Linked DNA regions of Saccharomyces cerevisiae S288C. The gene in region 4 interacts genetically with the main gene of each other region. Each region holds a gene or a part of one and is shown on either strand. Other genes may lie near its edges.

Region 1 (9,277 bases), on a different chromosome or scaffold from region 4:
GCACTAGCTCAGACCCAATGACCCTAATAAAAGTTGCATCAGTTCTATTAGCAACAGCACGAGCACATAATGTCTTACCAGTACCAGGTGGCCCATATAATAAGATACCCTTTGGTGGATCAATACCAAGAGTAGCAAATCTTTCTGGAGATAATAAGGGCAGCTCGACAACTTCTCTCAGCTTTTCAATTTGGTCTTTACAGCCACCGACATCGCTATAAGTAACGTCAGGCTTTTCTTCAACGGTCATCATAGTAACTGATGGGTCAATCCTTGGAGGCAATGGAAGTTCAATATTATATTTCGACCTATCGACACCTACACGCATACCTTCTTCTATATCTGTTGGAGAAACACGTTCACCTAATCCGACGACAAATTTGGCAATTTGCTTAAGATTTATCACGTACTTGGCATCTTCATCGTCTTCGTCTGCATCAGTAGACTGTTGATTGCTATTACTATTGCTATTGCCGCTGTTATTATTATCTGTCGTAGTTTCGTCACTTTCACCATTCCCCTTAATGATCTTCGTGCAACGAGCGACTTGTAAGGGATGTTCTTCGCCCAGTCTCTGCCTATCACCCATAATATCCCATAGATGGGAGGGTGCTAACCCTGTATCGCTTTCTTTCACACCGGCCTTTTCTTTGATTCTCGCTTCAATGTCTTTTAAGTCATTCTCAGTTTGCTTTAATTTGGCTGCGTATGGAGCTGCACCGTATGATTTTAAGACTTGAATGTCACCTTCTGTTAAGGGTACGATCTTGTCATCATCAGGTTTTTTATCATCGTCTTCCAAAGGTGCCTTGTATTTTTCCCAGTCTTCTTTTGGTGGCATTCCGTATAGTTCCTAACTTCCTTGATTTATTACGATGGTTCAAAAAAATATCTCAATTGAATATTGCTTTGAATTCTCATCTCCTTGGAAAATACTGTATATACCCAGTTCTTTGTATAGTAAGCTGCATGCTAGTTTAGTTTTCGGGTGGCAAAATTCGGTAATCCTATTCACTATACCTTTTCCTCTCGTCCGGGTAAACTCAGCCATACCAAATTGACAAGGATAGTACATTTATGCTAATCATAATTAAAACAAGGTATGTGTGTTCCAGATGCATATAGATAACGAGTCATATATAAATATATATATATGTGTCTGTACATGATGTACTCGGTCAAAAATGGCGGATTACTGGCTCCACATTTTAATCGTCTGCCATGACGTGTAGGCCATGACAGCAACTCCAAATACTATGACGATTAAATCTAAAAGAAGCCTGGCTCTCGAGGTTCCAGATAAGATGGACGCCTTATAGTGCAACAATGGCGGGTATATGTAGATCAATGGGATACACGCGAAGGAGCCTACCAGTGATACAAATTTGTCCAAATCGTTGGCGCCTACCCAAGCGAGGATAGATGTCAGGACGACAATAGCGCAACGGAAATAGTTTTTCAACCATTTGACTTTCGGGTTGTATTTACCAGATGCATTTGAGGGAAAAGTCCAGTTTTCCAAAATACGTATCGCGGGAAATAGCTGCAACGGCGTGGATAACAAAATGGCTAATGCATACAGTAATTGAACAGTGAGAGTATAGGAAGTGTCCTGCGGAAAATTCAATAAAACAACAGTTTTCACGTCAGATCCAAAAGCGGCATAGCATAAGAGACCACATGATATGAAAATCACTGCCACGATACACATCACCGCGGACAACGATGGCCGGAAATGCTTCGGGTGTTTCATTGACTCCTGAATGGGGATAAGTAGGCCTATACCTTCAAAGGTGAATATGGCGGTACCGATGAACAACGACCAGTCCGCTTTATTGAACATAAGCATTGTATCGGATGCGACACCATTAACAGCAATATAATAAATGGAGTAAACGTAAACATAAACCAATCCCAGTAGAATAAATAGATCTGCTATTAACGCGGTCCCACTTAACTTGGCTATGTTTCTTGTCAAAGATAGTGGGACAAAGATGAGTACTTGTGCAAAGATATAGGTGGCTAGACTGATGCTGCCCGGTTTCAAATGGAAGAAATTTTCAGAAAAGACCTGCAAATTAGTTGCAGTGAAAACAGTGTATGCAGCAGAAAACCCGATTTGTGACAAGGCGATAGACGAAAGAATGGCAAATTTCATTTTGGGCCCATATAGTATACGACCCATGTCACCGTACCCATCTACGCCTACTTTGTCCTTGGTGGTAATCAATGATACGAAACATCCATAAGAAATGAGGGCACACGAGAGTAGACAAAGGGCGCTAAATCCCCAACCACCGTTATGGAAAGCCTTTGGTAGGAAAAGCACACCTGTCCCAACAAATGACTTTAACAAGAGCAGCACCGCCTTTACCGTAGATGATTTGTGAGGATGGCGCCCGTGTTCACGAGAAACTAGCTGGGTGCTTTCCGTTTCCAAAGCTTCCTCCTCTGGCTCCTCTTCAGTTTCTTCCTCCTCCTCCTCTTCTTCCGATAAATCTTCACCAGCGAAGTGGCCATACAAGGTCAAAAATTCAATAAAGTTCCTGGTGAAAAAATTCGGTATGGGCGCATCAACGTTATGTTTCCTGCGCTTCTGTATTATAAAAGATCTTCTGAATCCACCAGGAGCCCTGATTTCTTCGTGCGTCATCGGTGCGGGCGCCAGGCCTATTGCCGCTAGAGGATTCCCATTCGCCTCCGAGTTGTTGTTAAGGTGAGAGGAAGATGCTATAGAAGCGGCAGAAAAGCTCATAGACCTTTTACGATTCGAGAATGAGGGCGCTTGTGAAGGTATTGAGGTGGAAAGTGCAGGTTGACTTGGGTACTGATACTGCGATGGTGATGAAGGATGGTCGTTTGTCCACTTATACAGATCTCTTGTAATGTCTCCGCCTTGCAATTGTAGGCTGTTACTCGGGTTTCTTATCAAGTGGCGTGCCACGGCATCTACCACATGTGGCTCAGGGTTATTTATGCTCACTTCAAGCGTGCCATTGTTACAGGAAGTGTGCGACGCGTCGGGTACGCTAGCATGCACCGCTTCATTGTTCACAAGCAGCGGCGGCTTTTTTAGCAAACCACCTGTAGTTCCACTAGATTTTCTACTTCTGCTTCTACTTCTACTATTACCGTTGCTATTGCCACCGTTGCCGTCCGTTAAAGGTGAGCCAGACGCATGCGAGATTCCTGTACTGCCTCCGTTGTTATTTTTTTTGTTGTTGTTGCTCTGCGTTCTTCCAGAGCCACTTGAAACCTCTTTTCCATTCATATCCGCGATGCAATCCCTTATACGCTTCTTAATAAACTTTGCTTCCCACTCTTTCACTACTGACCATCGATCCTTCTTATTTCATAGCCTCACGAGCACAAATGATAATACGAGAAAAAGGCCCGACCGGGTAACCAACCCTTTTACTATCTCTCGCTCTACCTTTAGTAATAATGTCGTCTATATAAGGATTTACTCATACAGTAGTCCAAAATATACCTTTCCGTGCTAAAAGTAGCTCCCAAAAGTAGCGGAGGTGAGGATCATCCTCTATTGCCAGGTACCAAGCTCGCTGGAAAGTCGTTATGGAGTCACGGCTTTGAGGGCGGGGGTGGACCAATCACAGCGCAGAACGCGGCGCCGAGCAAGCGCTGGACCAAGGGATCCGGGCCTCTTCTATTGGTTGTTTGTTTGCTCAAACCCGTTATATATTCAGGCATCCTCGACTCTAACCTTTTGCCACGTCGAGGCGGCTTGAAGCTTAAATAGCACTAATAAACTAGTAGACACATTATAACTAACCAGTAGTATACTTTGCACTTTCGATATTCTTTTCACTAATCTCCTCCCCAACCCCTTATTGAAGATAAAAAGAAAGAAAGAAAGAAAGAAAAAAATCCAATTTCATAGTACGAAGAAGAACGAGAATAAAGATGCTATCGCTAAAAAAATCAGCGCTCTCCAAGTTGACTTTGCTCAGAAACACAAGAACATTTACATCGTCAGCTTTGGTGCGCCAAACGCAGGGCTCTGTAAACGGTTCCGCGTCCAGATCTGCAGACGGGAAGTACCACATAATAGATCACGAGTATGACTGTGTGGTAATCGGTGCCGGTGGTGCCGGCCTTAGAGCGGCCTTTGGTCTTGCCGAGGCGGGCTACAAGACTGCTTGTATATCCAAGCTTTTCCCCACCAGATCCCACACTGTTGCTGCTCAGGGTGGTATCAATGCCGCTCTGGGAAATATGCACAAGGATAACTGGAAATGGCATATGTACGATACTGTGAAAGGATCTGATTGGCTAGGTGACCAGGACTCCATCCATTACATGACCAGGGAAGCGCCCAAATCGATCATTGAACTGGAACACTATGGTGTTCCTTTTTCAAGAACTGAAAACGGTAAGATCTACCAAAGAGCCTTTGGTGGTCAGACCAAGGAGTACGGTAAGGGTGCTCAGGCCTATAGAACATGCGCTGTCGCAGACAGGACAGGACATGCTCTTTTACACACGCTTTATGGCCAAGCTTTAAGACATGACACACATTTCTTTATTGAGTACTTTGCCCTCGATCTGTTGACCCATAATGGCGAGGTCGTTGGTGTCATCGCTTATAATCAGGAAGACGGTACCATCCACAGATTCAGAGCACACAAGACCATTATTGCCACTGGTGGCTATGGTAGAGCATACTTCTCTTGTACCTCTGCTCACACATGTACGGGTGACGGTAATGCCATGGTTTCGCGTGCTGGTTTCCCCTTGCAAGATTTAGAGTTTGTTCAATTCCATCCTTCAGGTATATATGGGTCTGGTTGCTTAATCACTGAAGGTGCTCGTGGTGAAGGTGGTTTTTTGGTTAATTCTGAAGGTGAAAGATTCATGGAACGTTACGCTCCTACGGCCAAGGATCTAGCTTGTAGAGATGTCGTTTCCAGAGCAATCACCATGGAGATCAGAGAAGGCAGAGGTGTTGGTAAGAAAAAGGACCACATGTACTTACAATTGAGCCATCTACCTCCGGAAGTTCTAAAGGAAAGATTGCCAGGTATCTCTGAAACAGCAGCCATTTTTGCTGGTGTAGACGTCACCAAGGAACCTATTCCCATTATTCCTACCGTCCACTATAACATGGGTGGTATTCCCACGAAGTGGAATGGTGAGGCATTAACCATTGATGAAGAAACTGGCGAAGACAAGGTTATTCCCGGTTTAATGGCTTGTGGTGAAGCCGCTTGTGTTTCTGTCCATGGTGCCAATAGATTAGGTGCCAATTCCTTGTTGGATCTTGTTGTCTTTGGTCGTGCTGTTGCCCATACGGTTGCTGACACTTTACAGCCTGGGTTGCCACACAAACCACTACCTTCTGATTTGGGTAAAGAATCCATCGCAAACTTGGATAAACTAAGAAATGCTAATGGTTCAAGATCTACGGCAGAAATTAGAATGAATATGAAACAAACTATGCAAAAGGATGTTTCCGTCTTTAGAACACAATCATCTTTAGATGAAGGTGTTCGGAACATTACTGCAGTAGAGAAGACCTTTGATGATGTGAAGACGACCGATAGATCAATGATCTGGAATTCTGACTTGGTTGAAACTCTGGAGCTACAGAACTTATTAACCTGTGCCTCCCAAACAGCTGTTTCCGCTGCTAATAGAAAGGAATCCCGTGGTGCTCATGCAAGAGAGGATTATCCAAATAGAGATGACGAACATTGGATGAAGCATACATTATCCTGGCAAAAGGACGTCGCTGCCCCAGTGACTTTGAAATACAGAAGGGTTATCGATCACACTTTGGACGAAAAGGAATGTCCTTCCGTACCTCCAACTGTAAGAGCCTACTAATTTGAACCTCATTGTATTTTACGGAAAAGAATATCATACTCTTCTTTAATTGCACTTTTTTTGTGCGTTTGCACTTTTTTACCACTGACTCACTAATTTGTATATATACCTATTAATATACATTTACATAAAGTTTCTTCTTATACATACTCTATTTATTTAGTTATTTATTAACTTACTATTTATTTATTTATTTATTTATTTATTTATTACTTTCAATTTTTTATCGAGGCATTTCCTTAGTTCTCCAATTTTTTTTCTCATTAGCCAGATGTGTGTTTTTCTGGCCCTCACAAAAAATGAGCAGGAGAAAGTCATATGGCGAACGTAAATATGTAACTAAAAATTAAGATGGGCAGACATTTATCATTTTGCTTATGACTAAATTGCGAATTGCTGTACAAGGGTGCTGTCATGGTCAGCTAAACCAAATTTATAAAGAAGTGTCACGAATCCATGCGAAGACTCCCATCGATCTATTAATTATTCTTGGAGATTTTCAAAGTATTCGTGATGGTCAGGATTTTAAGTCAATAGCCATACCACCAAAATATCAAAGACTCGGTGATTTCATATCATACTACAATAATGAGATTGAAGCCCCAGTCCCTACTATTTTTATTGGCGGTAATCATGAATCGATGAGACATTTAATGCTTCTGCCACATGGTGGTTATGTAGCAAAGAACATTTTTTATATGGGATACTCTAACGTTATATGGTTTAAAGGCATAAGGATAGGTTCATTGAGCGGGATATGGAAAGAGTGGGATTTCAATAAGCAACGACCAGATTGGAATGACCTAGAAAATAACAATTGGAAAGCTAACATAAGAAATCTGTATCATGTAAGAATTTCTGATATTGCTCCTCTTTTTATGATCAAGCATCGTATTGATATTATGCTGAGCCACGATTGGCCCAATGGAGTCGTTTATCATGGCGATACTAAGCACTTGTTGAAGCTTAAGCCTTTTTTTGAGCAAGATATTAAAGAGGGAAAACTAGGCAGCCCAGTGACCTGGCAACTACTAAGAGATTTGCGGCCTCAATGGTGGTTGAGCGCCCATTTGCATGTCAGGTTCATGGCCTCCATTAAGCATAATAAAAGAAGCCACGAACCGCCTAATAAGTCAACTTCAAAGACAAAAAAAAACAATAATGAAATAGATTTGGATTTATCCAGTGACGAGGACGAAAGGTCTGGTATTATGAATTGCCAAGAAGAGAATGAGTATGATTCCAAATACGGCGAGACACGGTTCTTGGCGTTGGACAAGTGCCTGCCAAGAAGACGTTGGTTAGAAATTCTGGAAATAGAACCGGATACATCGCATGCTTCGTGGAAGGACGAGAATCACCGTATGTTCTGGGATCCTGAATTTATCAATAATTTGGTAATTTGTCAAAAAAATAAGAATCTCCTAAGCAATAAACCGTTTAATAGCGTCAATTGGATAGAACTGTCTCAATCTAATAGAGAGGAAGGAAGGGATATTGATTGGGAAAATTATGCCATTCCTGCATACACCTTAGATATTCAGAAAGATGAAGTACGACAAACTAAAGCATTTATCTCTAAATTCATGACTTGAGAGATATTTCTATTACGAATGCAGACGGAATTAGAGCTTAAAGCCAAGCCTTCTTGAGAGAATTTTTAGTCATACACATGAATATATATATATTTTTTATATATTTACTAATTTGAACGATCCGAAATTAAAAAAAATATCAATTACTTTCCTCCATGCTTAAAATTTGAAAACTTGGTCCTTGGAGTAGCCCAAATTGTTCAAGATACCGATCAATTCACCTTGGTCCTTAGGTGACTTCTTCTCACCTGAGTAAGCGTTCATAAATGGTGGGGGACCGCAGACAAACAAATGTGTGCTTTCCTTTGGACCTGGAACATGCTCCTGAATAAAATCTTTGGAGATGAAACTAATTTCACCATCAAAGTCTTGGTCATCTTGCTTGTCGTCAACAAAGTAAGTAACATTGAACTTGTCAGGATACTTTTCCTTCAACGCATCCAGTTCCTTCCTTAGTAAAATGTCCTGAGGAGTCTTGTTCCCATATAGCAAGTTAACTTTGGTCTTGTCGTTTGGGTTTTCAACTATATGATGAGCTAATTGGTACAGAGGGTTGATACCGGTACCGGCACCTAACAAGGTGATTGACTTGAACTGATTAGGTTGCCACTTCCATTTCATAATAGGACCCTTGAAAGAAACGGTGTCATTTGGTTTAAGACCAAATAAATGTGAGGTCATTTTACCACCTTCATAATGCTTGACGACCAGCTGGAAGTGACCCTTCTGGGAAAGATCACTCACAGGAGTGTATGGTCTCACCACATTGGATCCCTTTGGTGTGACAAATTTAGCAAACAGAGCAGATGCTAGGACCAACCCCATTTCTGAGTCTTCGGTAGGCAGCTTAAAAGTAAACCTTCTGGTGTCGTGGGATTCCTCCTCTATTTTAGATATTGGCAAGTCGATCCATTTGTCATCACCTTTGAACACTTTATTAGATTCATTGAAGACAAAGGAATGTTGGTTACGGTTTGCAAAATAGAATGCGGTAGCAGCTGCTATAGCAACTGTACCTAGAGCAATCGGTAATGCTTTTGAGTGAGATCTGGATAATCTGGAAAACATGTTTTTGACTTGGAATATTATTTTAACCTATATACGTTATACTATTGTTAGTTTGGCTGCTTCAAAACGTTAGTATTGAGGGAAAAGGTAAGAGTACTTAACACAAGCGGGCATTGCGAGCAAACTGCATTCTTATATACGTACCTCTCTCGACAAGACACCAATCAAGGGCCCTTATTTCTCTTCTTTTTTCAAACGGAGAAACACTCCGAGCGATAGTTCCTACGCTTGTTTGGTCTTAGACCTTTGAAGTTTGAATTGTCAGGGGTAACAAGTTCCTTATACGATATAGGCGTCATAATGAGGGGGATAGTTTAGCATTGCGTGGAGGGATACTGAAGGTCATCGCAAATGAACCTAATTCATTCACCTATTGTTACCAGCTTGCATACTAGAAATGGACTCTTATGATCGTCAAAAGGAGCACACACCCACACACGACTCCTTTGCGCTGTAAAGGGCAGAATAGGGAGTGATGTGATGTGATGCGATGTGATGGGTCTTGCAACGTGATCTAGTAGATATATATGTAAAGGTGTAAATAGGTATATAGGCGTCGGTGAAATTTTATTAGCAACACCAGTTCAATACGATCACTACCGTATCACTGGAAATGTTAGCAGAATTGTCTCATAGAGAATTGATAAAGTTGGCGCAGAAAAGATGTATACCACCTTTATTGCCAAAGTTTCATAAGGGACAGTCTGGTGGGAGAGTTTGCATTATTGGAGGATGCGAAGATTATACAGGGGCACCGTATTTCAGCG
Region 2 (9,042 bases), on a different chromosome or scaffold from region 4:
ATTTTCAACTTTTAAAATTACATAACTAATTGTTTGCATTTATGAATAGAATAAAGAAAAGAATAGAGCAGTAAAGAAAAAAAAATAATTGTAAGTATTTTTTTTTCGTTTTATATCTAGTACTTACACGTAGTATATACAAGTATGGGCTATAGATATAAAGAAAAATAATAAATAAACGAGATTGTTAAGTTAGCTCTCTATTTCTTACCATGCTTCTTTTTATTGTTGGTTTTGTTTTTGCTCTTAGAGTTGGAAGAATCGCCTTCTATAAATGTTAACAACTCATCCACACTTTTGTTAGCCAATTCAGGTTTAACGTCATCCTTCTTTTGACGGTGATTGGTTTTTTTATGGCCAGCTGAATTTGATCCCGTTGTCGACATTTGATCTTGTGCAAGTTGCTTCTTTTGTTTTAAATCCATTATTAATGAGCTTAAACCATTAACCCACTGTCTTGATTGGGCTGAGTGCGTGTGATTCATACCCAATTGCTTGGTGAAAATCCCTTGGGTTACAGTGATGTGCTCTAATGCACGGTGGAAATCCTTCAATGCTGCAAACAAATTACCTAAACGTGACTCGGTATAGCCATATGCTAATGAATCTTTGCCTTCTAATTCCACAACATAGGAGCTTAGTTGTCCCAAGACTTCAATAGCCAATTTGGTATCTTGAACACCTAGGGCTAATTGTTCCAAATGGTTGAAAATGCTTGTGGGGGCTGGGTGATGGATTTTTGGTAACTCATAAACTTTTAGGATTTCTGCGAGCCTATTATAAACCACAGTAGCGTTATAAGGACTTTCATTAGAGAATTCTAGAATTGCTAAATTAGTTAAAGCCCTCATCATTTCAAAAGAATCAATACCGCTAACTCTTTCATAAATAGTACATGCTTTACGACAGAACGCGATAGCTTCAGGGTATAATGCTAACTTATTATAAATGGCAGATAATGACAAGTACTTTTCAGCAACGGCGGGATGTAAAATATTGTTAACATCTTCTAAGACTGTAATTGATTGAGCGAGTAAAGTCAAAGCACTTTGTTTGTCTTCGTTGATCATAGAAGCACCTTGAGCCCAAAATTCCTCACTAACTGAAGAAGTATATTCTGAGAACTTAACACGTGGAATAATGGTCAAATCGCTTAAACTGAAGGTAGTTGGTGGTTCGACAAACTTGTTCCTAATTTTCTTGTCAAGACTTTGCTTATAACTTTCCAATTGTTCTCTAGTAAAGAAGTATTCTTTATTGAGCAATTGAATACCAAATTTGTAAGAAACACTTCTAATGAGGGTGAAAGGATTTTCCATGTAAGCTTCGATCCAATTGGATGGTAATTGATGACGGAAACGCAAGAAGGCTTGTTTAGAGACAGCTTCCAGCAATTCGGAGCGTGTTAATTTAGCAAATGAGCACTTATTGACTGGATAAAATTCGTCGACTGGTTCTGGCTTCGGATCAGCATTGTAGTTGATACCAACTAACATATTGAAAACGTATGCTACCAGTGATGGAACCAAGAAGACCGGAACATCTTTACTCAAATCTTTTAAAACATGTTTCAAAGAACGCGAAACAATTTCTAATTCGGAAATTTTAATTAATGGCACTAGCTCATCATAGGCAACGACCACAGGTTTTCCATCGGTGGGCTTTTTGATTTCTTCATCGTTTAATTTCAAATCTTCAGTTAGTTCTTTTGGAACCTCTTTGCCTTCTTGTACCAGCTTATTAATCTTGGCTTGTCTCTCTTTAATCATGTTCTCAATTTTTTGCAGATAAGATTTTTCCCAATCCTCATATTCTTTGTTGTCTTGTTCAACAGCTTTCAAATTTTGTTCGTAGTGGACAATTTGGGAGTCCAATTCCTTTTGAGAAAGCTCGATAATTTTACCCAAGTAACGCATGTTGATACCATTCTTATGTAAAGTATCGGCTAAATGTTCACCATTATAAGGAGTGCTCAAATTTCCAGATAAATAATCTTGAATAACGCTGGGAATAACTTCTTTTTGTAAGTAGTTCGACATTTCGTCAACATTAGCGTCCTCAATACCTTCGACCTGGTAAGCATCAGGGTTATAACTAAACAAATTTTCTTCATAGGCCTTTTCAAATTCAACACCTTCCTTCTCAACTTTATTATTCCACCACTTTTCTACTAACTCCGGACGTAACAAAGTTTGCCTGTGTGGGTAACGGTTTCCAGTCTCTTCGATGTTGTCAAAGTTTTGTCTAGCAAAGTTGATGTCCAAGGGATACGTGTTGGCTAAATCCAAAATATAGCGCCTCTTATCGAATCCAACTATTCCCTTGGATTGCGATGAAAATGCTAATTCAGTACCGTTGACTTTGTGCTTTTTCAAATGGAATGCCTTGACAAACTTTTTTTCTAAAACAGAATCAAAGTCAGCATCATAAACAATCTTTCCCAAACCTTCATCAAGGCCGTACTTTACATTAATATCATTGACAAAATCTTCGGTAACCTCTTCGCCGGTATTAGCATCTTTTACAATTTTGTTACCCATGGTAGCTAAGAGTCCAGGTACTGGAGTTTGAGCCAAAATTCTTCTGCCTGCAAATTCGACTACAGTTGTTAAAAGATAACGAACTTCGTGCATATGCAAGCGATTCAAAATATTGATTGTCTTCAAGTCTTGGTTGGAAGCAGCGATTGCAGCTTCATCCCCACCTTTCCCTTCATAATTGCCACTAACGTCGGAAACATAGGAATAAAAGATATTGTCTTTTAAGAAAATTTGATCCCGAGTTGGAGATTCTGGGTTCATTGCAACGAAATCACTGTAAAAAATTGACATAGCGCCTGATGCTGCAGTAACAGAAAATTCATGTACAACTTTAGAAAACAACCTTTCCATTTCAATACGATCTTGTAATGTTGACGTAGTCAAATCTTTAATGGCTTGAAATTCATCATTAAAGTTTCTTTCTGGCGTGGTATCCAAGGCGGCAGTTTGTAACCTCAGATAATCTGGGTTATTTGGTGGCAATGAAGAAACAAACCATGGTTTATGCAAGAAAGTATTGCTTGGTCTTACATAGCTTGTAGAATCTAAAGCAGATAGTTTTTTCTCGAATGCTTGGACATGAGAAATGAATTTTTTAGAGCGAGAAGCAATCAAGTCAAATAGACTGTAATAGATCAGGGATGAGTGCGCGTTCTCGTCAGTGTTTTCTTTTGGAGAAGGATCGAACTTAGTTGAGTTTGATTTATTGACATAGAATCCAGATGGAATTGCAGTGATATAGAAACTCTCACCTTCCAAAGTGACAATTTGTAGGTAAAATAGATGACCTTTACTTCTATAAAATGGAGGTACAGGATTGTAAGGTGCGAAACTCAAAGACCTGACGCACGGCGTGATGATGTTGGATTCAGAGGTGAGAAGTTTGTTAATTGAAGAATTCTTAAAGCTAGAAAACACTTCGTGAACCATCTCGTTAAATTTTAGTTTTTCCTCGTCAGTCACATCTTTGAAAGTATTTTTCTTTTCTTCTGGATCGCTCTTCTCGTCTTTTTCTTCTTGTTTTGAGCGTTCCTTGATAGGACCCAACGGTAACGAGGAAAAGCTTGAACCAGTAGAAATAGCAAATTCAGATAATCCATCTGAGGTTTCTTGGGCAAATCCGATGAAATCGCGAACAGTAATCACATGTTTCAAAGCCTCTCTTGCGCTATATGGCTTCAGTATCAATTGAAGTTTTAACTCGCTTTTCTCACCAACAATTTCCTTTATAGACATTTCATCAGATAGCTGGGAGTCACCTTCAATTGTTTTCAGCCCAACGTTTGTCAGGTACTTGGAACTTGGAATCATAGCCAACACATCTAGAACAGTTTGAATTTTGGATTCCTTGCCGATTTCAAAAGATATATCATTATTTTTTGAACTTTGGGTCTTTTTGAGATGTTTCGTATTATGCGAATGGTTATCTTCTTTTGGAAGTTTGACAGTCACCTTAACGGTGGCGTTTTTAACTTCTTCTTTTTTCTCGCTCATAGAGATTAAAGATATGCAGTCTCAGATAAACTGTAACACTACGCTGATTTGATTCGTTCTGTAAACAAATTACAGCTCAATTACTACTCTGTGTTTAGTGAACCTTATATCCAATCTTCACTGCAGACAATTTCCTTTTTTGAGAATACTTCGAAGCGTATAATTTCCAAGAAATGGTATCCGTTTTATTGGCCATGTTTGACCGGAAAAAACCTTGGTCGACGTGAAGAAAAAAATTTTCAAATTTCTTCAAAAAGAAAACTCCGCTACGGGGAGTCGAACCCCGGTCTCCACGGTGAAAGCGTGATGTGATAGCCGTTACACTATATCGGATTATATTTCACTGTTGATATTTTTCGTAGAGAACTCCTTATCGAGTTATTAAAGAAACGATCATATCAATTGTTCTATTTTTACATAACTACTCTGACATTATAGTTTCATAAAGCACTGCTACTTATATATTTGGAATTTCTGTGTACCTAATATTATAGTCCTTATCCCCAACGGTTGAACCCAAACAATCATCAAATCATGCACAAGTTTCTCAGCTATCCCATTTCAACTATGATAAAGGTTCATCTTCAAAGTGTATCCATTCAATCCAGTAAATGCAATCATTTCGCTGTATATGACGATATATTGGTGATATGAATGCTAGTCGATAGATTATTGTTTAATTTTGTTCTAACTCGCCAGAAAGAACCAACTGTTTACTTGAAGCTAATTTCCTTGCTTGGTTGGTGACTTATTTATTATTTTTCATAATTAGTTAATTAGTGATCATATGAAGTAATCAGCCACAATACGCCATTGATGCTTGAAGGCGAAAAACAATATATGATTACGTGATATGTGGCACAGTAAAGTTAAAGATTCATTATTACTTCAACGAGAAACTTGACGTCTCATGTATAAGGATATGAGTCGTTACATTGAAAATACAGTAAATGGTTCCACCATTATTATGTTGGTCTTGTTTAGTATGGCCGATCGGCGTGTGTTTTGTTTGCACCTTTTATATAGTAGAAGAATATTTGTCTTAATTCTTATTAGTACTGCAACCTAACCACTAATTATCAACAATTATTGGATTATATAAAGGAGGTAAATTGCCGGATTAAAATCAAATATCATTCATCAACAAGTATTCATATTGTCGGCATATTTTTACATGCGGTGTAAGTATTTGGATCGTATTCTTATAGTGTCAATACCTCGAAGCAGCGTTTCAAGTACCAGACGTATGTAGGAACTTTTTAACGTCGAGTCCGTAAGATTTGATCAGTATTAAAAAAATCTAGATAAATGAGTGGTACAAATAAAAACATCATTAAAAATCGTTAAATAAAAAAGTATGAAGATCATCTATTAAAGTATTAGTAGCCATTAGCCTTAAAAAAATCAGTGCTAGTTTAAGTATAATCTCTTATTCCTCGGAAACTCTTTTTTCTTTTGAGATCCAGCTACCAGATTTCCATGGTTTGACACCTTCAACATACATTTCATTAACTTCCTCTAATGTTAAGCCCTTGGTTTCACAGACAAAGAAAAACACGTAGAAGAATGAAAATACCAAACAGCCCATGAAGACATACCCGTATGAAAATCCAATTGCACTTGTAATGAAGGGAGTGAAGAAACCAATCAAGAAACCCCAAATCCAGTTGGCACCAACAGCAATAGCCATAGCACGATTTTTGACACGCAAAGGATAGGATTCGGCAACAATAACGTAGGCAATTGGGGCCCAACTAATAGCGAAGAAGAAAATGAATAAACAGGTAAAGACAATCATGACGTTACCGGCAGCCTTGGAAGATGGTTGATCTTTACCATTTGGATATAAGCTTGTGACACCGACAGTAGAGAAGATAACAAAACAAATGGCCATGGAAGCAGAACCACCCAATAGACACTTACGACGACCAAATTTATCAACAGTGTATAAGGCCACGAAAGTGGATGCGAAGTTGACTATACCTAAAACGATGGAAGTTTGGAAAGAATCTTTCATACCGACGGCGTTGAAAATAGTAGTACCATAATAGAAGAAGTAATTGTTACCAGTTAATTGTTGTAAGGATTGAATCATAATACCCATAATCACACGAGGTAAAATAGCACCTTTGTTGGAGAATAACTCACCCCAAGAAGCGTTACCGGCTAATCTTTCAGTTTCAACGTTGGCCATAATTGTATCCATTTCAGCAACAATACTTGGATCTTCAATGGTGACTTTGTTAGATTTTGCCAAAGAACGTTTAGCGTCTTCGTATCTGCCTTTTTCGACTAAGAATCTTGGAGATTCTGGAACCATTAGCATACCAGCGATCATGAAAATAGCGAAGGCAAAGTTCAAACCCAAAGGCACTCTCCATTGAACTGAATTGGAGTAGTCTTTAGTACCATAGTTGGTACAGTAACCTAAGAAAATACCTAGAGTGATCATTAACTGATAGAAAGAAACACAGGTACCTCTAATGTGTTTTGGTGCTGTTTCGGAAATCAAAGTTGGAGATAGGACAGCAATACCACCGACACCCATACCAGAGATAATTCTACCAATGAAATATTGGTACCATTTGTCACTAGAAGCAATTTGAATCACAATACCAACGATGTATACCAGAACGACGCACATCAAACCAATTCTACGTCCATACATATCACCCAGACGTCCTAAGGTTAACCCACCAAAGGCACAACCAATATTGAAGATACCAACGATCAAACCAGTCCGGACGTCCGAAAGATAATAGGTACCATCAGATTTCATTTGACCAAATCTTCTTTTGAAATCGGTTTGATTAACAAAACCAGAGATGGTACCAGTATCCCAACCAAAGACAAACCCACCAAATGCAATCATTAGACATAAACAGATAACAGTCCAATATGCGGCGATTGGCTTTGCTGGGAGTTCAGCGTTAGTGTATTCAGATTTGGTTTGAATAGGAGATTCATCCGTCTCTAATTTCTGCACTATCGGAGTAGAGTGGATAGAAGTTTGTTGAGAGCCACTTTCAACGCGGCTAGTAGCGAATTCAGACATTATGTTGCTTTATAAGTCTTTTTGTAATTTAATTTGTTGTTCTTATAATCTAATATAAGAGGAATTGAGAAAGAGGAAATCTCAAATCTGGTTAGAATGTAGAATTGTAATCGCTTTTTATATCATTTGTGAATCCGGGAACGATGACAAGTTTGGTGGGGGTTGCTAGGTTTTGAAAACATAAAAAATGGGCGACTTATTGTTGTCGTCCACGCCAGTTGCGTGGCCTATTACTATCGTTAGGCGGCGTACCGTTAATTTTTCCAGCCCTGCTTCGCCATCGCAAAAACGAAAAGGCACGCATGGCTTGCGAAAAACTAAAATGATGGAAAAACAGGTGGAAGAGCCACCTATCTAGTTCCCGAAGAAAACGCGTAGGAAAAAGGATTTCGGAAAATTTTATTGAGTTAAAAGACCCCGCTTTTCTCCGGATTCATAAGGATTAGCTTAAGTTAGCGGTTGCGCCGTGAGGAGAAAAAGAAACTTAAAAGTGAAGCTGCGGGGCTGTCTATGAGGCGTCATTTTTTGTGGGAGGAGAAGAAGTCGTGCAGTGGAGAAAAAGAATCTATTTCACGGAAAATTATATTTTGGTTTTTCCTCTCCTCTTCTTCGTCCCCCCGTTTCTTTTCTTTGGACTATCATGTAGTCTCTCTGACGAAGAAAAATACGGGGAAAGCAAAGCCACGTGGAGAAAGAGTGGAGAGGGACCAAATGAAAAAGAAAGAGAAAAAGAAAAAGCAGCCCGTTTTGTTATTATTCATCCCCGGTTCTTTTTCTTTTCTACGGTATCTTGATAGTAATGAATAATATTTCTTTTTCTGTGCCTTAACTGACCTGTCAACTAGAATTTTGCTTGTTCTTTCGTGATTACGAAACCCTATCTTCGTTTAAGTAAAATAGATAATTAATTTTTTACTCCAGAAAAGAAATAGAAAGTTTCTCTGTCTTTTCCTACGTCATAAAATTTTGATGATTCATTTTTGTATTACATCGGTAGAAAATTTTTCATACAGGGTAAAATTCTTTGTTTCTACAACTCTGCATCAGCATGTAGGCAAATTAACATTGATCACTGCTAAATTCGGGGGGCATAATTTGTTGAAATTTTGCCAAATGTTACTTTTCCTGCAAAGGATTTATGTTTTTTTGTTGCTTTGGAACTTTGGGGCTCAGGGACTTTAAAAAAATCTGCAAGTAATACTATGCCGCCTACAAAAACTAAATAAGAAAAATATGCCGCACTACTGTACATGAGTTTTACCTCGATTATCATTGTATACAAGCGATACGAATACCCCTCAAGATATATATCTCAACATGAAGAGAATTGTGGATACAAATGGAATTATATGTATTATATACAGAGGTTGTAGAATGTTATTAAATAAAAGGCAATAATTGAACATTGCTCAATGACAATATTAATCTTTTCATGCCTGCAAACCAGGAATGAATATCACTACAGAAACTTTGATATCGTCAGGCACATTTTGTTTAGCCAATACTGTATTATGTAGTATTACCGTGACGTTCAATTTATTAGTTCCATATGCCCGTGAAAATATCTTCCCCGAGGTGTAACCACACCATTCTTTTCCTTTCAAACATGAATAGAAGAGGCGATATTTAACAAGTAATTACAACAATGGTAATATTGTACTCGAGATATGCATGCATGTATATATCGAATTATGAATGCATATATCTAAAATATAAAAAAACCTCTCTATCAACTTTTTTTATTTGCAAACCTGAAAATTTCTATAGCGTTACCGCCTGTGCCTGAGATTTACCCACTTGGTCATCTTGAGGTGAATCTGACGTATCATTACTATCCTGTTTCAAGGCCTTTTCGACATCCTTTTGTAAGGTATTAAAAAGATCTAATTCGTACATTTCGCTTTCATCTTCATCTGATGGCGAATTACTGTCATTAGGGTGATGTTGATGCCT
Region 3 (7,570 bases), on a different chromosome or scaffold from region 4:
ATGCGTTAATTTCCTACGAAGGGCGCATACAATGGTGCTGATGGGATTTATGAGCAAAACAAGTAGGCGAGCAAGACATGAACGAAATTGTAATGAAGCGTACTTCCTTTTCCCTACAACCTTAAAAAGGTCTCACTGATATATCCATTCGCAATAATGACAAGATTTTTGCATGGGACTTCTTTTTTTCTTTTGAATAAGTCGCGTTATAAGGACAAAACATTAAAAAAAAATATGTATTGATTCACTGATTTATATATACAGAAGTAAGTACCGGGGTACCTAAATATACGCATAAAAGTCTCTTTCTTTTTTTTTTTTTTTTTTTTAGCTTCCTACATTTCGTTAATAATATTATATAGATTATATTTATATTTAAGAAAAGTAATATCAGCATATTATGAATAGACAAAAAAGTCTAAGGTCAAGATTTATTAAATGTTAGATTATTAAGATTACAATTAACAACATTTGTTGTTACTTCATAAAATTTCGTTACTTCATAAAAGAACTACAGTCCCCCACTTCTAAATGAGTGGTTGTAGGGGTTCATATACCTCCCATACTGTTGGAATAAAAATCAACTATCATCTACTAACTAGTATTTACGTTACTAGTATATTATCATATACGGTGTTAGAAGATGACGCAAATGATGAGAAATAGTCATCTAAATTAGTGGAAGCTGAAACGCAAGGATTGATAATGTAATAGGATCAATGAATATTAACATATAAAATGATGATAATAATATTTATAGAATTGTGTAGAATTGCAGATTCCCTTTTATGGATTCCTAAATCCTCGAGGAGAACTTCTAGTACATTCTACATACCTAATATTATTGCCTTATTAAAAATGGAATCCCAACAATTATCTCAAAATTCACCAACTCTTCACATACATACCTGCGGTAGCAAGATAGGTACACTTTTTCTACGTTTCACGAAGGTAGCGATAGGTACCTCACTCATTGTAGGTGCGGGGGTAGCGATGGAGGTTTCTGTACCATTACCACCACAGCCACTATACTCACGTAGTGAAGTCCCTAGCGTGGAATTGTGTGGTATCGTTGCTATCTGTCGTTCGCCACCCTCGGTATATCCAACGTGCAGGCCAATATCACTCTCTAAGAAAATCGTATCAGGATTGGTACGGACAAACTCTTCATAGCCTACGTCGAAATCAAATTCTGCTAAAGCTGTGACTGTAGTTAAACCTAAAACCGCGATTATTGCTTGAAAAACTGTGGAGAAATTCATGATGGACGGTCACGTTCAGGGTCTGAGAAAACCACTCATTCCTATGTCCCATGTGGTTGGTTGCAATTTGCTGCTATATATACGACTTGGCTGTAGAGAGATCTACGTAGGATGTGTCCACTATCAAGGGGGGTTTACCAACGTTATCTTCTATTTTAAGTGCTCAAATGAAGGTTGCATTATATCCCTGGCAGTTTTCCCGGCAATTTTGCCGGCCGCTTATAATAGTCATGGTGAAAGGATTGTTGCTTGTTGTGGTTGCAACATGACAGTTGCCTACTAACTAAATAATAATCAAAGTCAGTTTCTCAACAATGGAAAACCTGTTGTGACCTTATCGAAGTAACAACATCGTATAATAATTAATCTGGAAAAAATACCATAGTTACTGCCGATACAGGTCTACGTGACTTACTGACAAACAGACTGAGTGACTACGAGTCCAGAAATTTAGTATACCATATTGTCGCTTCTTCTTATAGCCCAGCTCCAGGTCTGGATACGGTTCTGTATAACTCGTTAAGGTTTAAGTGTCCGGCAATTTTTTTGAAGTTTCATTTCTTCACTCGATGACCAAGCCGTGTGCCATCTTTTCGTTTTCTTTTTTTTCAATGTGTTTAATTATCTACAAAGAGGGCACACACAATAGAGCTGATGAGAACCCATGAGCGAAACAAGTAGAAAAGCAAGACGTAAACGGAATCATGGTGGTGTGTACATTTCTCTTTTTTTATTACACCAAGAAAGCTTAATTGGTACGTATTGTTCGTGATAGTAGCATGAATCTAGCGTGGAATTCTTTTATTTAAGGTCGCGTTGTGACGACAAAACATTAAAAAAACCACATGTGTTGATTTGTAGACTTGTATACACTCCAGTAAGAAGGTGCACACCAAAATACATGCGCATATAAATTATTTTATATAGCATGCTATATTTCGTAAATTCATAAAATTTCGTTAATTCATAAAAACAGCTCCCCAAACTTAGATGAGTGGCTGCAAGGGTTCTGTCTTGTAATCAACATCTACCATTGCGCCATCGTGTTTACATACAACTTCGACAGACACCTTGAATTTCTTGGCGTTCAACTCCGTTTCTTCGCCATAATTCCAAACAATCCGGTCAAAGGATTCCTGCTTTTTCTTATCGTGGAATTTCAATTCTGGCTTGTTGATAGCGGTTTTGATGTCCTTTAGCAGGTGCTTCTCAACATGCTGGTGTAAATGGCGAACAAACTTCTTAGAGTGCGAATTGGCAGTCTCTTTGATCTTTTCCGGATCATCATGCGCATCATGCAGGACAAAGGGTGGATAGTACTTCAGTTGGCAATGGACATGGTCGAACTCTTGATCTTCCGTCTCACCCTTTAAATATGTTTCAAAATCATGCAAATCCTCAAAAACCTTTAAGGACTCACCACTTTTTGTAGTGATGGTGGACATCTTAGGACCCTTTGCTTTCTTATCCTTTTTCGTCATTCTTATTATTTAAAATACTTTGTTATATACTGTACGTTGTTTCGTTTGCACTTAATCGTGTTTCGACAGATAGGTGAATCAAGATCTACCTTTACGCGAAAGATACGAAGAATTGAGAAGGAGGTGCAAGGGAAAAGGGCAATAGAGGATTGGGACAGCCGATGCTTATATACGGACGATTGCCAACCGCCGAAAAGGTTCAAGCCAAGAACAAAAAGTAGAGAGAATACCCCAACAATAGCATTTGATGGCTAAACGGCAGTGCCCGTTAATACTATTCAAATTATACCCCGCATTAATAATTCCTGTCCCTTTAGTCTCGTCCTTCAGCCGTATAGCCGCAAAACTTCGTTCAATGATTTCATGCCATCATTACACCGCGAGTCGTGGGTGCATTGTAGTTTATTACGAAAAGTATCTACAATACTTGCTTAAATAACCTACATTGTTTTAGGCACTATGGCCGAGTGGTTAAGGCGACAGACTTGAAATCTGTTGGGCTCTGCCCGCGCTGGTTCAAATCCTGCTGGTGTCGTTATTTTTTTATTTTTATTTTTTTTTTATCGCTTACTGATTATCAGATATCTTCGACAGCCTCACACAGATTGGTGATCACGCACCCATAATCATTTCTTCGGGCATGCTCCTATTAGCCACGGTTCGCAGAATAATCTGCGCGATGTTATTCACCAAGACCGTGGAGTCTCCTTTTCGGTGGGATCCGCTTATATCCGTATGCGTCGGTTGCTTTCTCGGGGAAAGGAAAAGGAGAAAGCCCGGATAACACGACACAAGAGTCATTCGTTATGCACGGACACAGGGAATCGTGCGGAGCCGGGGATAAGAGGCCGTGCTAATTTCCGCGGAACATCGGAATGCAGTGGACAAGTGCCCTGAGAACAAGCGGCGGGCGGGTAGCTGCCACGGAATAGGCGCCACGTTTCCGTGGGTGACTATGACTTTTGATCGATTCCATGTTGTTTTGCCCTGAATTCTGCGCCCCTCGGAGAAGTTTCTTTTCTTTTTTATCTCTTTTTCATCTCTGACCTTCGTTTCCTTTCATATAGACTACGCAGCAGAATCATGGCAGGAGCTATTAGCTGAGTGGGCAGATTACGTTTGCGCACTGTGCATTGTGACAGATTATATTTGCTTCGCTTCTCCCTCTTACTTCTTCAGCATAAGTGTAAGCCATATGTTCCCTGAAATCTTTCTACCGTCGTCTTCTCTTTTTTTTTTTTTTACTATAAATCAATGTGCTCTCTTCCATGATTCTTGCCTTTTGGATCTTCGGTACTTGTGTGGGTGAGAATGGTGTTATTGAGTCAATTCAGGTCAGCTTGGTTCAGTTCTAATCTAGCCCTTTCCCTACTATACAAATACTACTAGCCTTTTTTTTTCTCTCTCTTTCTCTATACCACTACCTCTTCCTCTTCCTTTTTTTTCTCTTCTTTTTCTATTGTCCCCATCGCATCTTAGCATAAACGCATCCGCATTCCCTTCCTACATTTTTCTTTTCTACTAGTTATAGCTTTAAAACCTTCTTTATTCTCTTTCTACCTATTCTTCTTCGTTGCTTATATCCTATACACATATGAACGGTCCTCCAACATTCACTCAATATAGAATAAATAAGTTTTCTGGGAATGGAGCAACTCATAAGATTAGAGAATTACTCAATTTTAATGATGAAAAGAAATGGAAACAGTTTTCGAGCAGAAGGCTGGAGCTGATAGACAAATTCCAACTAAGTCAATATAAGGCAAGCGAACAAGATCAAAACATAAAGCAGATTGCTACAATATTAAGAACGGAGTTTGGATACCCTGTAAGCTGCTCTAAGGAATTCGAAAAGTTAGTCACTGCTGCTGTGCAATCAGTGAGAAGGAATAGAAAACGATCAAAAAAACGCTACGCTCTCAGCATAGCCAATGGCAGTGGCGGCAATGTCAACAACAGCATCTCGTCAAATTCTACTTCTGACGACGAGATCTCTCCGTCGATCTACCAGCGCTCCAATTCGGACTTCCTGCCTAGTTCTAATTATGCTGCAGATTTCCAGTTTTCAAACAAGTTCCAGCCTCTCATGAGTCACCAGAGTCATAACGGAACCATTTTTCCAACCGTGGGCACCCAAAATGACTCATCTCCATCGGTTACTTCGACCCAACAAAAGTATAACGATATAGTCACCATGCTAGTGCACGATCTTGTTACGAATGTCGTACCCCTATCAGAACAAGCTCTCAAGGACCCATATACTGGGCCAAACCTGTCACATTTTGCTACGTCTTCACTCAGCCAGCAACCTAACATTACCACAAACATCCCGATAGATTCTACCGTGCCATTTTTCCTGAGGGAAAAGTTACTCCTACAAATCCAAAGATCAAGAACTTGTCAGGACATTTCGCAGGCTGCAGGATCCATTGATATATACGCAAATCTGGAGATTTTGGGTGAAATGTCAATCCGAATGTCTATTGCATTCGTTATCGAACGATTTTTCTCCAACTTGGTCTCTTCTTCAATGAAGTATATCACTGCCAAGACGTGCTCTCCTGAAAATCTGGCTTTGTTGTCTCAAAGACTGTTCGGTGCCGCTACAAGACATAACTTATCTCATTTCCCCGCGGCTCAGGTACAACTAAGGCTACTGTATTTGGTCATAGGTGGTATTGTCAAGGATTTTGGCTTCGACCCCACGCTTTACCCTTTAAGTGAAATCATACATCATATTGTGATGGTTCAGTATCCTTTGGCTAGTTCCTGTGCGTCAGAACCACCATCATCTTCACCTAACAAGAGGGTTAAGAGAAGCCCTCCTGTCGTTTCAAGTGACGTTATGTTGAATAATAATAACACTCTATCGAATAGAGCTACACTTTTAACTACGCTACCAATGAAGCCTCAATCGGCCAATAAAGATGTTAATCGCAGAGTGATCATTAGATTTAATGATCGCGAGCAAGCCTTTACTTTCCACCAGTTGAGCAATGGACCACCCACGGTGTCTGAAGTTTTGGAAAACTGTAAAAATTTATTTAATATTATCAACAAGAACAAGAATTTTGGTATTTTCCATAACGATAACCTCTTGAACGATGAAAGTTTGGCAAAGTTATTTGATTCCTTTTCCACGAGCGAGATTCATCTCGTAATTAAGGACATTTCCACCATTCCACTACAAGATGCAAAAATACCAGTGCCCATTACGTTGCCCAAAATGTCATGCATAGGTGAAAACCCCTCTATGCCTTCTATTCCATTGGTACCACAAGAAAAAGATGATCCAAAAAAATCAAGCTTAACTGCCTTTGATAACATCCTTAATAGGATCTCTAAATCGCCAATGAATGAAGAAAATAGCAACACTACTTTAAACACTGGCACCTCCACCTCCAACACAAATAATAATGACCACAACGAGTCTGTGCCAGCGCCATACGTTACAAAGAACAAAAATTCTTTTCAAAATGGCAATTTACCACAGCCGGTTTTCCAGCCTTTACTTTGATAAAAATACAAAACAAAATTGTCTACATACATAACTGCCTAATACACATTCTACACAATATTTTTTTCTTTTTCAATTCGCGTACATATTTATGTAAGATAAAATAATAATATCCTCTTAATCCATGCTTAGAACTGCTGCCGTTGATTTTCAAATTCATCCTCGTCAAATGGTGGCAGTTCCATTACATGAATTTTGTACCCCAGTGAATATTCCTGGTCTTGTAAGGATTCGAACGTCAAATCAGACAGCTCTTTATCGTGGAACCCAACAATGGCATTATACACAATTGTGCTAACTTTAAAGTATTTCGCCTTGCTATCACCTTCGGAGTCAGAGACGTTTCCACTTTGTGCAAAAGTAGTTGGCAAATTTCTATTAAACTCCTCTAATTCATCTTCCGGTAATTCAAACCTCAGTAGAGTTGCTTCTTCATGATCTTCATAAACCCCTACATAGAATTCCCTTGTATTATTGATAGATGTTCGAGGTCCGCCATTTGTGTATGTGCTATTATTTGCACTCCCGTTGGTGTTCTCATTTTCTGATATCTTTAGAGCGTCCATAGATTCATTGAGTAAAGATGCTTCGTTTTGTTGCTGTAGAAACTGTCTTTCCTGTAGTCTTAATAGCTTGGGGCATTTCAGTTTTATAAAATCTTTTAGAACTGTCCATCTTAGCCTTCCAAATTTTTCCAATTGTCCTTTCTCTTTAATTTCAATAACTGTGAACTTCTCTTGGTTCATTAACTCATTGAAATCAGACTCTGATAATTTCTCCAAGAATTCTATAGGTATATAGGGTGGGAAATTTATGATCTTCAGCTGCCACATACCTCTATTCGTCATTTGTTTTCTAAAGCTTTTCTCGTTAAAGATATGCTTTAATCTTTTGTGATTTATTTGAGTTTGTGAAGGTGTAATTGTTCCACCATTCTTTGCTTGGAGGGCACGGTCATCACCATTCGTACTTGTAGTGGGAATATTACCATTATTATTGGAATTTGAGGCCATGTTCAAGTTGTAAAGGGCAGATATTTCGTTATAAGAGGGATTTATCTTATTGTTCCTTAAGGAGAGGTGATGCTGCTGAGAAAGACGAGGGCCTGTGCCAGTATCTGGATTCCTGGGGCTATTATGCATGTATTTTTGAAACTGGCTTTGGTTCTGGTGATAGAAATGCCGACGACGGGGATAGTGTGTAGGGGAAGCAAGTGGACCACCAGCAGTAGCAGCAGCTGTTGGTGAAGGTAGAGTAGTTTGATAGGGCATCTGCATATTAGGTACCGTTCCCGGAGGAGCACCCAACAT
Region 4 (7,773 bases):
AATAAACAGGAGGCTTTCGAACAAATGTGTTCGCGTGCTTTGTCCATAAGGTCCTTCTGCTAGTACTCGCATTTCCGTGTACCCTTCGCTCTCTAAAAGGTATTCCTGTAATTTTTTGGTTAGCCCATTTTTCACTGTTATCACAACTACCAACTCACCATCCTCAACCAAAGAATCCATGACCGTGAATGGATGTGATTGCCAGAATATTTTTGGTCTTAAGAAGTACAGATATATATATTGGCCAGGTTCTGCTTTCCACCATTTGGAGCTTTTTGAGATTCTCACTTCTATCATGGACTCGCCACACAGTTTCAATTTAGCCCATGGCATTCCAAAAATTGCAATCTTTATTAGCCGCAGAATACGGTCAGCAATCCAAAACAGTGCACACGCCATTATCCATTCACCCCATCCAAGTTTATAGCAATGTTTCCAGCACGCATGGAAAAATCCTATTGCTAAGATAATGTGCGTAATAACAAACAATTCGTAATAATGTCGTCTAAAGAAGAAGAACGAAAAAAACACAAGTATTCCAACAATGATCATGGCATGTCTTCCGGATGTCCATAGATCACTATACTTCACGTATTTCCAGTAATTTTCTATGTATGCATGGTAGGTGTATCCTATTGCATGGATCGTACAGTCTACTAACATGAATCTTCCTAACCATTTGTGGTAAGTAATGAATGCGGTATATCTTATACCTGTGAGCCAAGTCATTGTGCTGTTTTTACCGCCAAAGAGAACTATCAAAGGAAAATGTGCGAATGCCAGGATCCCTGCCCTGTCGGAAAGGAAGATAAGCACTTGGCTTCTGCGATCACTGAGCAACTCATTATGGTCAAAATTGTAACTACTCAACAAGAACCCGTGCAACAAAACGTAACCGAATAGGACAAGGGTCTCTAACCTGGTAGGGACCAGACCGATGAAAAACCACCTTCCCACTGACATAGCATGGTTATGAACAAGCGCTGGAAGAACATAGTGGCCTCTTAAGAAAGCAGACACCTTGTTTTTGAACACCGTTTGTTTAAGTCGAGAAAAGTTCAAGAAGTGATATACAGCTGCAATAAACAGAACTCCTATCCAGTATAAGCAAATCGTCACTCCATAAACATTTCCTTTGTCTATATTATCCAGGGGCCCAAAATAAGCCCATACCCACCTATCTAGAGAGGCTTTATTGGGAGTGACGGGATATCGTATGTTTTCCTTTACCTCATCAAGAGGCCGGATGAAAAGGGATGCATTGGCAAAAATTCGATAATACTCCTCATTGCTGACGACCTCATCTTTGTGATAATCGTGGCAATACTGATTAATTTTGCTAAACGTTTTTTCGAATATTTTTTTACTTTTCTTCCTACTGTCGAGAACATCCTTCGCGCAATGTAACCAAGACCCTAGTGCTGGTTCATAAGTGCAAAGAGTAGCGTGCCGACCCTTCACATCCGTGTCAAATTTGTGTGATTCCAATTCTTTAGCACAAGCATCAATTGCTATCTGGTCCCATTGCGTTCTTTTCTTAGTTGATGCTGGTTTTGCTAAAGAACCTGGTGCCAAATACACCAACAGCAGCACTAATCTAGCGAAAAGCATTCGAAATCTGGGTGAATTAAATTAACTGCGACAAAATTGGTGATGTGACATACCGAAAACGCTACATTACACATTTGCCAAGTAAAAAATTGACGCTCCTTTTTTAATGATCGCTAATGTAATGAAAAGTAAAAATCCAATTAAACGAGGAAGCGGTAAAATATGATTGCTGTGTAGTAATGCCACAGTCTTCTTAGTCCTACCTATGTCCTAGATTTTTTTTTGCACCCTGTTTGTTCCGCACCCCGCTATCCCATATTTTTTGATGTATGTGAAGGAAAGCAATCTAAGGGCTCAAGAGCCGAGTTCCGCCATTCTAGGAAAGGGTGCAAAAAAATGGGGTTCAATTATCGTTCGAGATTTGTTATTTTTTTTTTTGTAAAAGTTGATTTATGGGGTATTTAAGCCAAGAACTATTTGAAGTATTAGGAGGTAATATGAATGTTCGAACAGATACAAACAAGTACTTCCACTCGCTTAAAAATAACTAATAACAATAATCCCTAAAATGAAATTCTCTTCCGCTTTGGTTCTATCTGCTGTTGCCGCTACTGCTCTTGCTGAGAGTATCACCACCACCATCACTGCCACCAAGAACGGTCATGTCTACACTAAGACTGTCACCCAAGATGCTACTTTTGTTTGGGGTGGTGAAGACTCTTACGCCAGCAGCACTTCTGCCGCTGAATCTTCTGCCGCCGAAACTTCTGCCGCCGAAACCTCTGCTGCCGCTACCACTTCTGCTGCCGCTACCACTTCTGCTGCTGAGACTTCTTCTGCTGCTGAGACTTCTTCTGCTGATGAAGGTTCTGGTTCTAGTATCACTACCACTATCACTGCCACCAAGAACGGTCACGTCTACACTAAGACTGTCACCCAAGATGCTACTTTTGTCTGGACTGGTGAAGGCAGCAGCAACACCTGGTCTCCAAGTAGTACTTCTACCAGCTCAGAAGCTGCTACCTCTTCTGCTTCAACCACTGCAACCACCACTGCTGAAACTTCTTCCTCTGCTACATCCTCTAGCACCGCTGAATTATCTAGTTACACCGGTGCTGCTGATGCCATCACCGCTGGTACTGGTTTGATGGGTGCTGCCCTTGCTGCCGTCATGTTATTGTAAATGATATGTGAATAATCATGCGGGATATCCGATTTTTATGAAGCACCTTGCGGCTTGGCCTTTTTTCGAAGTTATGTTAGAATAAAAAAATTTTAATAACACACATTAAGTATGTATGTATATATACTGTTTCAAGTTCGTTGGTCTTCCTTTAATTGTTTGAAACGGTTAAAAGTATCTAATTAAAATAAATATACCCGAAATCATACTAAAAAAATAGTTAATATTAATAAAAGTAATGATAATAATAATAATAACAATAATAATAATACGATGATGATGATGAAACGAAAAACTGCTACATTGAAGTCACTGAGAAACGTAATGAAAAAAAGTCCTTTTTACTAGCCTTTTGAAGGAGAAAGACAATTATATTAGCTTTTCATAGATAAGTTATAAATATGCTATACACGATAACTAATAGCTTTTTTCTGGTTTGAAACCGAGCTTATAATAGGTAAGAAATCAAACCAAGGGCCAATGCACCGACACTTGCTCCTTGGAATGCAGCAGGAGCAGCACCAGAAGAAGAGGCAGAAGAGGAGGAGGAGGATGAGGAGGATGAGGAGGATGTAGATGATTCGACGGCTTGAGTGACGGTCTTGGTGTAAAGGTTGGTTGATGAACCTGAACCGTTTGTCAAAGTAAGTGTCTTTGTTGTACTCTTTTCAGAGGTGGTATCTGGTCCTTCGGTGACAACCTTTGTGTAAGTAGCATCACTATTACTGACAACGACAGTTCTAGTGGTACTGTAACTAATGATAGGGTCAGCGGTGTCGGTAACGACCTTAGTGTAAACGTTATTACCGTTAGTAGCAGTAATAGTCTTAGTGGTCATTACACTCGACACAGCTGCTGCCGAGACGGCAGTCATAACTGTAGTAGCTCCGAAAATAGTTGAGAATTTCATTATTATTGTTTTGTGATGGCTTTATGATAGACTTTTTTACAAGGACCGTAAAATTCTGCCTGAAGCACGCACACATTCCTGTTTTATACATATATTGCTAGGTAATATAAAATGCTAATTATACTGCACCCAGTTAGATTCGTATACATCTTATCCGAACTCGATTACAAATTATACAAGTGATCCAATTGGGTGAACCTCGAAACAGTTCTCTGTTCAAGGGTCCGCTGCGGGGCGAGGGGGGGTGCATTTGAACTTAGGGTGCATTGTTTTAAATCCTATACAGGATATGAACTTAGTTAGTTCAATGATCGCTTGATAAATTGCACCCTGCTCTTGAGGGTCATTCTAAGTAATGAAATTTTGGGTGTTTTTGTTTGCCGTCCTCGTTCAATTCGCTTCCGCCGTTCTGGAAGCCCCGTTAACTTCCGTTCCCGCATTCCGATCGCTGTAGGGCTTGGCGTCAGTAGCACCCAGATATTTCACTGTAGGAGCTTACTTCACTCATTTCAATTGGTATACAGAAATCTATGAAATGTAGTTAAAGGCATCACTAATCCGCATCCGCGATACCCGCAACATATACGGAATGTCTATGTAAAAATGTCTCCTGTGACTTTCATTAATCGAATCTTTCTATAAAAAAAAAAATGAGCAAATCACAGTACACCCACTACTCGCATCATCAACGTTGAGTCAGTAGCAAAGTCTCCAGTTATGGTGCCCTCTGGTCCAATTGTAGTAAATTCGTTTGCACGGATGAAAAATAGCTCATGAATGTTCTTGTGTATTTGAATACCATTATGTGCGCGGCTCATACGGATTTAAGTGTGATCTTCCCCTCCGTATTCCCTGTCAATAACTCAAAGTTTTCCCATTTCGGTTTGAAGTTCTTCACAAGGGAGTTTCTTGGCGCAAAGGCATGATGATCGCATTTGCCTCAGTATATTTCGTCATTTCGGTACTGAGAAACGAAATTATTTTGCCTGTTGTCTTGCGTTTTGGCAACCCTTAAGAATTCATCTAATATGTTGGTCCTTAAAGATAAGCGCTTTTGCTTGTAAAATTCTGATTTTTTGTCTTGTGATGGTAATGCTACATTGAACATCAATGCGTATCTGATTTTAAAAAAAAAATTAGAAGTGTGTATAAAATGAAGGTATTATCAGTTGAGCAAATATTACATGTGCTCTTCAAAAGTACCTGCTTTTCATTTAGTGACTATCAGGATGATAACGCCGCTCGTCTTATTTTTAACTGTCGTTTTCTGATAAATGTGTTGAAAACGTGCTAAACAACAATTACCTGTTCTCAAGAGCCTTGAGCCTGGATTGAGAGCAAAAAATCTCTCTTTCATTTTATACAGAATTCGGAAAGAAGATGGATATTTCATGAAAATCTGTTGGTAAAAAGTGGATAAAAATTTTGTATTATTAGTATGTTCTTAGTGGTTAGGTGATAACGAAGCGAGAAAAGCAGGGCAAATGGAATAGAATAGCGTGTAGTTGTTAAAATTTTATTTCACTGAGGCTTATATGCTTACTGAGAAATTTTTTTTTTTTACAAAAAACTTCTTTTTATGTTATACCAGCTGTGGATTACCACAACAATTGGAAAGAACATCAATCCAGAAAAAAAATTCAGTTAATTTGGAGGAAGAGAAATTTAAGTCATGGAACAAGAGTGGGAGACAGTTAAAAAATGCTTCCAAAGATTAGTAGATTGAAAAAGTTTGTGAAAGTCGATCAATTGTCTTCATTGCAGCTAGACATAAATTATGTTTCAGGTCAAAACAATTAAATATATACTTGTGATAGGTAAAATAGTGAGGAAATAAATAAGGTAATTGATTACCAACTTTGGTATTCTTCAAAGTATTCGATTGCCTTTGCAGGCTTCTCTAGAACAAGATTTGCCGTTTGATCCCTTACTTCGTCAACGAAAACAGGAGGCCCACAACAAACCACAGCTAACGATCCATTTAGGTCACCAACTTCATGCAGAAGCTTTTCAACATTGGGTCTTCCATGATGAAAAACAGTACCATCAAATTCAACTGGATTAGGTGACTGTTCTAGGGTAGTTGCCATAACAACACCTTTTCCATCGGCCTTCTCGTCTTGTTGAGAAATTTCCAAACTATCATTAGGAGTTAATGCCGGAACTTCCATTGTATTGTAGATGTGAAGCTGTACATTAAGATCTTCTAGACACATCAGCTCCGGCTTGTAAGCCTCGAGTACGTTAAACCCTCTAACTGCAATCACTAATTTTATGAATTGTTTTCCAGTTGCCGCTGACGTTTTTCCAAGTTTAATGGCGTGTGCAATGGGCCCTGGCAAACCAGTACCTCCCGTAAGTAGCAAGACGTTATCATAATTATTGACTGGAGATGAAGAGCCATATGGACCTTCTATAGCTAGTCTCATAGATGCCTTACCTCCATTGCAACACACATACTTTTTGACAAGTTTTGTTACTCCCTTTTTTTCCTTCAGGATAATAGTCAGCTCACCATCTTTGATAATTGAATCTAAGACTGTGAAAGGATGTGACTGCCAAAAATACAGGTGGTGTAGGAATGAAACGAAAACATACTGTCCTGGTTTGGCTTTCCATAGCCTTACTGGTCGTTTGACTGTGACTCGAATGATGTCATCGCCAACTAACTGTAAGGAAGCCTTAGGGAAACCGAAATAAGATACTCTAACAATTCGAATTAGCCTATCAATAGTCCAGATAGCAATAGCAGCGTATATCCACTCAATCCCACTCAATTCTACGACGTGCTCCCAACACGTATAAAAGAACAATGCGCCAAGCACAATATGGAGAAATAAGAAGGCTTCATAGAAAAACTTTCTGAACATTGCCAAAGAAAAAAACACCATAACACCAACTATACAAAGAGCAGCTACTCCAAATTGCCAATATGTCTCTTCCTTGCTTGCTGCCCAATCTTTGTAGAATACGGAATAACTGGTATAAGCAGCGCCATGAATCACAGCATCTAAAAACATCATTCTTCCCAACCACTTATGAAACATTATGAAAGAGGTATATTTTACTCCAGAAATGAATTCTAGAAAATTGTTCCTTCCTGCGAAAAGAGCTATTAGGGGAAAATGTGCAAATGCCAGGACACCACTTCTATCTGCCACGTATCGAGCAATCTGTTCTCTACGAGAGTCGAAAATTAAGTTGTAAGGATCATATTGATACCCGTATGCCAGAAAAACTGTATGAAGCACGAGGTATCCAAGTATAATGACGCCTTCAGATCGTGTGGGAAGGAAGCCTGTAAAAATTTTAAGGTAAGAAAAGCTCGACGCATGTTTACCCCAGATAGTAGGTATTGTCAAATATCTTCTCACATATCTTACAAGTCTTTGTTTAAATAAGGCAGTTTTAAACGGAGTGTAACTTAGATAATGGAGTATGCTGGCAAGAATCATAACACCTACAAAATAGGCGCAAATAATACCACCATAAGTATGACCAATGTCGTAGTTGGCGTAGAAACCATGGTAAGAATAATAATAGTTTTCTCTCACTTGGGCATCCATCTCGATTGGATACGTAAGATTCGCGCTACCTTCAGAATACTGTATTATGTATGTTGTTCCATTATTCAGCATATTATAGAAATCTGCATTAGTCATATTCTGAAGGTTATCAGTGTAATATGCGCAGTCTTCTTTGATAGCAGCAAAGGTTTTTTCAAAGGTTCTATTGGAATAACCCTTTTCATTCAATGATTCGTAAATACAATACAACATTGACTGTAATGCCGGTTCATATGTACATGCTGGTGAGGAATATAAATCGTCACTACTATACTCCCAGGTTACTTCGCCGAGAACTCCCATGCAGGCATCTGTCAAAACCAGTGGTAACTTGCCGTACATTTTTGTCTTAGCAGGGGAGGCGCTTGCTCCTGACAAGCAGCATAACAAAATAGAACCACAAAGGAGGACCCAATACATTGTTTTCCTTGTGTCTTATAATTTTTGAATTGAGAACGTTCATCAGCAATTGAAGTTAATCATTCTCTTGCCACCTTATATAAGTTGCGACGAATCTTTTAATATAAACAATTGATCAAATTCTGTACATCTATGTCAAAGAT

The links.
Region 1: mutations in FIT2 (region 4) and AVT3 together harm fitness more than expected from each alone (negative genetic interaction), as found in Saccharomyces cerevisiae (one large-scale study listed by BioGRID).
Region 2: mutations in FIT2 (region 4) and HXT2 together harm fitness more than expected from each alone (negative genetic interaction), as found in Saccharomyces cerevisiae (one large-scale study listed by BioGRID).
Region 3: mutations in FIT2 (region 4) and RGI2 together harm fitness more than expected from each alone (negative genetic interaction), as found in Saccharomyces cerevisiae (one large-scale study listed by BioGRID).

The regions. Positions count from the first base shown.
Region 1 is NC_001143.9:165,777-175,053, reverse strand, and holds AVT3 (Avt3p), read right to left. Parts: upstream 3,272-9,277; coding exon 1,193-3,271; downstream 1-1,192. Other genes in the region: proteasome regulatory particle base subunit RPT1, read right to left, coding at 1-841; succinate dehydrogenase flavoprotein subunit SDH1, read left to right, coding at 3,925-5,847; DBR1 (RNA lariat debranching enzyme), read left to right, coding at 6,225-7,442; MCR1 (cytochrome-b5 reductase), read right to left, coding at 7,602-8,510; NNR2 (NADHX dehydratase), read left to right, coding at 9,124-9,277. UniProt on the Saccharomyces cerevisiae protein: Involved in amino acid efflux from the vacuole to the cytoplasm. Capable of transporting large neutral amino acids including tyrosine, glutamine, asparagine, isoleucine and leucine.
Region 2 is NC_001145.3:286,126-295,167, reverse strand, and holds HXT2 (hexose transporter HXT2), read right to left. Parts: upstream 7,090-9,042; coding exon 5,464-7,089; downstream 1-5,463. Other genes in the region: translation initiation factor 3 subunit CLU1, read right to left, coding at 201-4,034; ANY1 (Any1p), read right to left, coding at 8,851-9,042.
Region 3 is NC_001141.2:245,654-253,223, forward strand, and holds RGI2 (Rgi2p), read right to left. Parts: upstream 2,744-7,570; coding exon 2,249-2,743; downstream 1-2,248. Other genes in the region: YIL060W (uncharacterized protein), read left to right, coding at 739-1,173; YIL059C (uncharacterized protein), read right to left, coding at 897-1,262; VHR1 (Vhr1p), read left to right, coding at 4,338-6,260; YIL055C (uncharacterized protein), read right to left, coding at 6,389-7,570. UniProt on the Saccharomyces cerevisiae protein: Involved in the control of energetic metabolism and significantly contribute to cell fitness, especially under respiratory growth conditions.
Region 4 is NC_001147.6:1,055,402-1,063,174, reverse strand, and holds FIT2 (Fit2p), read right to left. Parts: upstream 3,645-7,773; coding exon 3,183-3,644; downstream 1-3,182. Other genes in the region: FRE5 (putative ferric-chelate reductase), read right to left, coding at 1-1,611; FIT3 (Fit3p), read left to right, coding at 2,120-2,734; YOR381W-A (uncharacterized protein), read right to left, coding at 4,585-4,752; FRE3 (ferric-chelate reductase), read right to left, coding at 5,495-7,630. UniProt on the Saccharomyces cerevisiae protein: Involved in the uptake of non-siderophore and siderophore sources of iron. Has a role in the retention of iron in the cell wall and periplasmic space.